2 linked regions of the Nothobranchius furzeri genome follow. The protein of the gene in region 2 interacts with the protein of the main gene of each other region in a pairwise test. Links are inferred from orthologs where the notes say so. Each region holds a gene or a part of one and is shown on either strand. Other genes may lie near its edges. The genes, in order: adipor1a and appl1.

Evidence for each region.
Region 1: the proteins of appl1 (region 2) and adipor1a interact in binary tests that used the Homo sapiens proteins (3 or more experiments, as listed by UniProt). The link is inferred for Nothobranchius furzeri from reciprocal best matches to the Homo sapiens genes APPL1 and ADIPOR1.

The regions. Positions count from the first base shown.
Region 1 is NC_091743.1:48,917,761-48,921,584, forward strand, and holds part of adipor1a (adiponectin receptor protein 1a), read right to left. Parts: intron 3,556-3,824; 5' UTR 3,487-3,555; coding exon 3,340-3,486; intron 3,246-3,339; coding exon 3,129-3,245; intron 2,489-3,128; coding exon 2,317-2,488; intron 2,171-2,316; coding exon 1,984-2,170; intron 562-1,983; coding exon 374-561; intron 193-373; coding exon 1-192. UniProt on the Homo sapiens protein: Receptor for ADIPOQ, an essential hormone secreted by adipocytes that regulates glucose and lipid metabolism. Required for normal glucose and fat homeostasis and for maintaining a normal body weight.
Region 2 is NC_091743.1:68,844,794-68,848,212, reverse strand, and holds part of appl1 (DCC-interacting protein 13-alpha), read right to left. Parts: intron 3,278-3,419; coding exon 3,236-3,277; intron 2,294-3,235; coding exon 2,235-2,293; intron 1,673-2,234; coding exon 1,526-1,672; intron 1,276-1,525; coding exon 1,193-1,275; intron 1,110-1,192; coding exon 948-1,109; intron 581-947; coding exon 392-580; intron 312-391; coding exon 269-311; intron 193-268; coding exon 136-192; intron 1-135. UniProt on the Homo sapiens protein: Multifunctional adapter protein that binds to various membrane receptors, nuclear factors and signaling proteins to regulate many processes, such as cell proliferation, immune response, endosomal trafficking and cell metabolism.

The sequences.
Region 1 (3,824 bases), about 20 Mb from region 2:
ATATGTCACACTTTCCAGGGAAAAAGCGTTCCGGGATCCTGGCTGCGTACAAGCCGGCGCCGGTGATATACATGGCTCCCATCAGATAAAACCAGCCCATTTGTCCCACTGTGGTGGCCTTTACAAAACCTTCCTCGATGGTGAAGTGCATGGTAGGAACAATGCCACTTAATCCAAGACCCATGAATACACCTAAGAGGAGGAATTACCGTACTAGAATTACTGCAAATATCTACGATTTGATCTCAAGATAAAATGAGCTGTTATTTATTTCACAAACAGTATCTAACCAATGTCCTCCTGGTACTCACTGAAGAAAAAAATTATCAACACATTAAATATAATCTGAAGCAAACACACAGATCACCCTCACCTGCCCTTGTAGGTCTGTGACGAGGTGTTGAGAACCGGTCCCACTGGGCAACTATGATGGCGGCGATGCCAAGAACACAAACAATGGTGAGGTAGATAAGTCGAGGCTGAGGGGAACAGTAGAACGAGTAGTACAACCAGGGTACGAAGGAACCCATGATTAGAAGTGCAATGCCCGAGTAGTCAAGCCTGAGGAGAGAAAGTCACATTGACAAATGCAGGGCCTTCAAAAGAATGCAAAACAGGTGATTTTTACCTTAACACAGAATGCTTTTCTGTTTCCTATTCTACACTTTAGATTTCCTGCACAAATTATTAAATTACTTAGATTTTGAAAATAGAGTAGAAACAGTTTATAAATGAATTATAAATGCTTATTTTTAAACTTAAAGGAGCAATATGTAAGAATGAAGTAAAAGCGACATCCTGAGGTCAAATTGGGGTACCGCAATACATTTTTCTAAACAAAAAGTTACTCTCTCACTCCTGTTCTGAGAGTTTCTGAGAGAACATTCTAGATGACAAGCAAAGATGGGTCATACACAGTAAACAGGTGTTAGCACTTATGGGTGTTTTATGGTAGGGAGCACTTACACACTTATTACGGTAGCATGTCTCCAGAATTAGAGGAATGCAGCTGTTTGATGTCCTACTGTTAGCTTGCCGTTATAGTTCTGAACGACTCGATAAAGGAAGTAAGATTATTTGCCTCTAATTCATTGTTAGCTCAATGTTAGCCTCTAGCCTTCTTCACACGTTAGAGTGTGGCTTCTTAGGGTGATAACTTCTGGGTTGCTCCTGTTTACTGGCTCAGTTGTTTTCTACAACTCGAGCTTTTTGCTAACGTTGAATTACAAATGAAGGTGCTGCAGTGTTAGATCGGCGCAGACGCTGCAATCTTGCGGGCTCGCAGATACTAAACAGTAACTATGTCCCTCTTCAACCATTAAAAAACTAAGATAACCCTCCAGCTGGCTCAGAATGAAATTTGTTTCAACGTAACCTTCCTTCCAACAAGACTGAGTCATTAGACCGTTCAGTGATTTTTTAAATAGAAGAATTATAACATATTGCTCCTTTAATCCAACCTGGAAAATTTCTAACAATTTCACACATTTCAAAACAGCATTCCAACACTGTGTTCAGAACAACACTCAATGCAGTCAGTGAAGGCAAACTAGAGGTCTTCATTGATGCCAGCAGCAAGATTCAGCTCAGTTCCTCTGCAACTTATCAGGAACAGCTCAAAAATGCAGAACTATGTGGGCTGACTGAACTTGCAGCTTTATCAACCTCTCAGTCAAAAACCCAGAAAAACTAGACGGAGCAGAAAAACCTTAAACATTTGTGTCGAGGAGAAACTCTGAGGCTAGAATTGCTGGTTTCCACTTAAGAATGGCAAAGTCAGACTGTAGAAGAATTAAAGACATGTGCTTGTAAAGGTTCGTCACAGCAAACCTAAATTACAGCTTGAACACAACATCAACAAAATTCCGACAAAATCCTGAGAACTCATGGATGAATCTTCTCGTTTATTTGTATGGTTTTATCAGAGCAGCTTGTGAGCGTGTAAAAAAAAAAATCATATTTTTAGACTGCATGAACCCTTACTTGGAGAACGTGCGTGACACTTTTTCCGAGTGGCAGTAGACAGTATGAAAAAGCCAAGAGAAGCTGAGGCAGAGCACAGCTCCCAGGAAGAACATCCCAAACACAACTTTCTCCTGCAGTGGTGCCATAAAGTACATGTTGGGGCGCAACATGGTTAAAGTGCCCAGACAAACAAACAAGATCCACCCTGAGGAAGACAAAATAACAGATTTGACTCGTTCCTGGAATTTGGGGAGAGAAAAAGCTAAATAAAATGAAATTTTAAACATTTAAATCGAGAAAAAAAAAATATATATATTTTTTTAATGTATTTATTTATTATTTTGTGCTCACCTAAGAGATGAGTCCAGATGTTTCCCGTCTCAGTGTGAATTCTGAAGATGCTTCCAAAGCAGGCCCTGAAGGAGGGCATAGGAGGTCGATGTCCATGTAGGAGGTAATCGTTGTCCTTCAGCCAGTCTGGCAGGACATGGAAGGGAATGACCCTCCAGCGACCCTCCCAAACCTGAACAGAAGAAAACCTCCATTATCAATCACCCATTAAAACAGGAGTCTGAGAAAACCAGTGTAAAAAAAGTGGAATTATAAGAATTTTGATTTTGAAAGGCCAAATATAATCTAGACATGCCTTTGAGCAGAGATCTCTCCCTTCCCAGACGACCGCTATCCAGCAGGTTTGACTGTTTTCCCTGCTTCAACACACCTGATTTTAATCAGCAAGTGATTTACAAAGCCTGATGAGCTGCTGAACAGGGGAATCAAGTGTGCTGGATTAGGGGAAACAACTAAAACATGCTCAATACTGGCCCTCGGGGAAGGGAGTTGGAGATCACTGCCTTAGAGGTATTACGGAAACACATTTCATATTTTTAGCTGTAAAGTTTTTTTTTTACTTATTGTTGGAACAATTTTATCCACCTGCCTTAAACTAGATCCTTTTGTAAAAACTGATACAATGCTGGACAATGAGTTGAGTATCAGGTGATTTAAAGTAGCCAATGCATTATTTAATAATGCAGAAAATGTCTCAGAGTGACATAAGCTCCACTTCTCACACCACAGCATCCCTGTCAACTTAATGTTGTTACAGTAAAGAAGAAATCATATTTATGATATTGTTTAATATACTAAAAATGCATAATTACCTTGTGTACAAACTCCTCCATTTTCTCCATGGCATGGTGAGCCTGAAGAGGTAAAGTCAGAACTTCTCCCACCTCATCATCATCCTCATCGTCATCCTCAGCCAGCATTGCTGCTCCCTTTAAATATATATCACAGGAGATTACTATTGCAGTGACACAGACAGCTACAAAAAATAAAAAATAAAAAAAACTTTTGCAAAAACTCCCATACCTCTGGATGGACACCTTTAGAGGGCGCCTGCCGCCCCCCTCCCTCCTCCAGCAGTGGCCCGAGCTCCATCAGCTCAACATCTGGGACGCTGCAGTCCTCAGAGATCCGGCAGTCTGACTTACTGGCAGACCCGTTTCGGCCTGACATAGGGAGACTGCCTGATGATCCACTCACAGCGTCTGTATTCTGCCTCAGATGGGACGTGGCAAACTTTTCCTGAAAAGCCAAAATGACAATCAGAGGTACAGGCCAAGCTAATGGAATATATTTCTACGGATCCTAAATTACATGTAGGTAGAAATAACTGAAATTATATGGACCTATGATGGTATTGATCAGCACATGATATTGTGTCTTATTTTGATTCTGGTAATAACACCTGGATAAAAAACAACAACTTGATTCAGAAAGTCTAAAATGTTCTCCCCCTTTTCCATCTACCGTAAATCCTCTAATACAGGCCCGGGCCTGTATTTGACTCAAGC
Region 2 (3,419 bases):
ATAGCTAAACATGTTATTCTCATGTAAAATGTACCACATTGATGTATAAAGTGCATCAATAGAAAACGTAGCGTTCACACGTGTGGATGTTTGTTTTGCTGTTGTAGATGTAATTTCAGCCAAGTGGACACACACCTCTGCGTTTTCACTCAGGTAGATCCTCCTGGAGATGTTGTTGATGGTGGCGATCCACTGTTGGAGCAGAGATCCAGTGTGAGGAAACAACAACAATCAACACAGAGACAATGACAACAGCGAAACATCTCACCTCCTCACATTCCCTCCTGCTCTCCGCCTGCAGAGTCACCACTCTGATCCAAAGCAACGAGAAAAGATCAAACCCCAGAAATCCAAAACCTCAAAGGCAACAGAAGACACCAAGAAAACTCACTTTTTGCCATCAAAGGAAGTGACCTGAAAGCAGAACCGGCGGTCATCTGAGTCGACGGCCATGACCGAGCAGTTGTCGAGGTCTGTGACCAGTCCCCCCGCAACCTCGCCTCGACCCTGCTGCATCAGGTTCCCTCCCTGAGTGAAGAAGTATTGACGTTCCCAGGATGACGACACCAGGCCGGTCTTACTGCCACCCAAGAGCCACAACACAGTTAGACTTGTAAATAAATCGTTCACAAAGACAGAACTAAAATCCTTTAATATCATTGGTCTGATTTGTCTGTTATTGACAGAATTATTTAAAAAATTATAAGAGACATTTAAGAAATGAAAGAGTTCTTATCTATAGCAGAAAAATGACAATAATGAAATCAGAAATAAAACTGCGATCCTGCACAGAACAGGATCTAAAGTCTCCAAATACTAACAAACTGTTGCTTTAAAAGACTCTTAAATAAATGTACAAATACACTTTATCACACGATCAAATTTTTATCAATTCATATTTAACAAGGTTTAAATAGACAAAAAAAAACATTTTGCAGCTCACTCACTTGCGAATGTAGAGATATCCCTGCTTCCTAGTTAGGCTGCGGACAACAGGTGAGTGGGCGGGGTCAGGGTCGCATGGTGTATACAGAGGATCACATGACCTTTCCATCTGCTGGATGGTCTGCTGCATCTGGCCCACTTCTTCCTCCATCTCCCGACGTACACTACACACACACATATTTATTTCTGACACTTTGGTTTTTATAAGAAACTTTTCTGAGAGGTTAAAGGTCAGTTGGACGCCTACTTCTGGACGCTGGTTCCTATCGTTCCCAGGAAGTCCTCCCACTGCTGGGTGAGATTTTCTGAGCCCAGCTTAAAGAAACTGATCTGCACAGATTAAAGACACGCCAGTAGGCAGATTATTCATTCCGCCCCGCAAGTGAGCTCTCCCTATGGGTTGTGGCCTTATTACCGGTATATATAATCACATACACAGGAATCAGGATGAAATTTCACTCTTTTGCGAAAAAAAAGTTTCATAGGGAGGTAAATAAACACTCGTGTTGAATTATGGTTTCAAAACTGGTTGTTTTTTCTGACTTCTCCGGTTTAAATGAGTGTGTGTGTGTGTGTGTACCTGAGCCTGCATGTAGCCCAGCAGCGGCTCCAGCAGCGCCGTCTTCTTCTTGTACTGCAGCGTGTTCAGAGCACAGAAGTAGTGCATCATGGTCTGGTGCTGTTTCTTGCGGGAGGTGTAGAGGTCCTCCACCAACTCCGACCGCACCTGCAACAACAGCATGGTCCTCATATTTCAGGAAGACGGATAACATTATTATTTGCTGAGATAATCTTGTTTAGTAACGATAATCATGTTGCTTTCAGGTAGCTGAACCTTGGGAGAAACCTGAACCTTGAATCAAACGTGGGAAGGTCAGGAACCCCTCATCACTTCCCTCCTTTAATCCCTTTGAAATGTAGGTTTTACGTCTGTGTTGGAAGGTTTTTATAAAAACTATCTAAAAGAACTTGTTAGGCAGAAACTGAATTTGAGTGGAAGCAACACGATGGTATACGGTAACATTGAAGGGTAGGTTGGATAATTCACAAACACATAGAAATGGGTTCTATTGGCAAATAATAGTAAAATTTTTCTTTGAATTTTATAAAAATAACTTTAAATTCAAATAAAAGTTTATTTTTATTCTTTAAACATGCTTAAAAAGATGTTTTGTGTTAAATTCTGACAACGTGTGTAAAAACATCACTTATTTAAATGAAAACGTCAGGGAGAACACATTTATATATGTTTTTTTTATTTAAATAAATTATAAATCCAACTTCCCCACCTTTTCGTTGTCCTTCCTCTTAGACAGGCGACTGTATCGGTTAATGGCTGTGTCATGATCTGCAGTAAAAAAGTAAACACTTTCATTTCCACTTTTACCTTTTAGATTAAAGTCATGACTTTAGGCTCCATAAACGTGAACGCAATTACTCCATAAAGGGATAATTGGGAGAATCCCACAGACATGTTTAAACAAGAGCAGGATGACCTCAGCTGGTGAAAGTTGTTTAAACTATATTGTATAAAGTAATTCCTGTGAGGAAAATGTTGAATAATACATAGTTAAATAATTCTAAAGTAACATTTCATCCATTTATCAAAGGTGTGGAACACTGATTTATTTTATACATTTGCAGTGGTCTCTAGAAGGAATTAATACCTTGGAAGTCTTACTCTAAGGAAAAAAGCACCTGTGTGCCCTTTTCAGGAACTAGAAGTGAGCCACATCACCTGAGCTGAACACAGCAGGATCTACAGTGGTGTGAAAAACTATTTGCCCCCTTCCTGATTTCTTATTCTTTTGCATGTTTGTCACACAAAATGTTTCTGATCATCAAACACATTTAACCATTAGTCAAAGATAACACAAGTAAACACAAAATGCAGTTTTGAAATGATGGTTTTTATTATTTAGGGAGAGAACAAAATCCAAACCTTCATTGCCCTGTGTGAATAAGTAATTGTGTTAGATGGAAGTGTCCATGAATGTTTAGTGACAGTGTGACGTAGATCTGTCAGGATTTTCTAATCCTAGAGTTTCACCGTCTGTTTTCTACCAGAAGCCAAAGCAGGAGATAGGTGTAGGGGACTAATTTCATGTTCAGCCTGCATTATAATGACAAATAACCATTAAAAATGGTTTTCAGTGTTCCACACCTTTAAAGGAAACACTAAGTGGGACTATGTTTAACATAAACTGAGGTTGCCGTGTTGGATCAGTCAAAGAAGAGATGACCTCTGGGACTTCTGGGAGAGTGAGAAGACACAAACAGATGAACTCACCATCACTGGCTATCTGGAAGACTTCTTTCAGGGTCAGGATCTCTGAAGTGAAAGAAAAAATGCATAAGGGATCTTTTTCTTTTTTTTCCCTTTTTCTGCCATGTTGGCTTCTGTCTATTTTTCACAACCTTAACACAAATGATGTAACCATAGTTGTTTTTTAAATCATCTTCCAACAGTAATG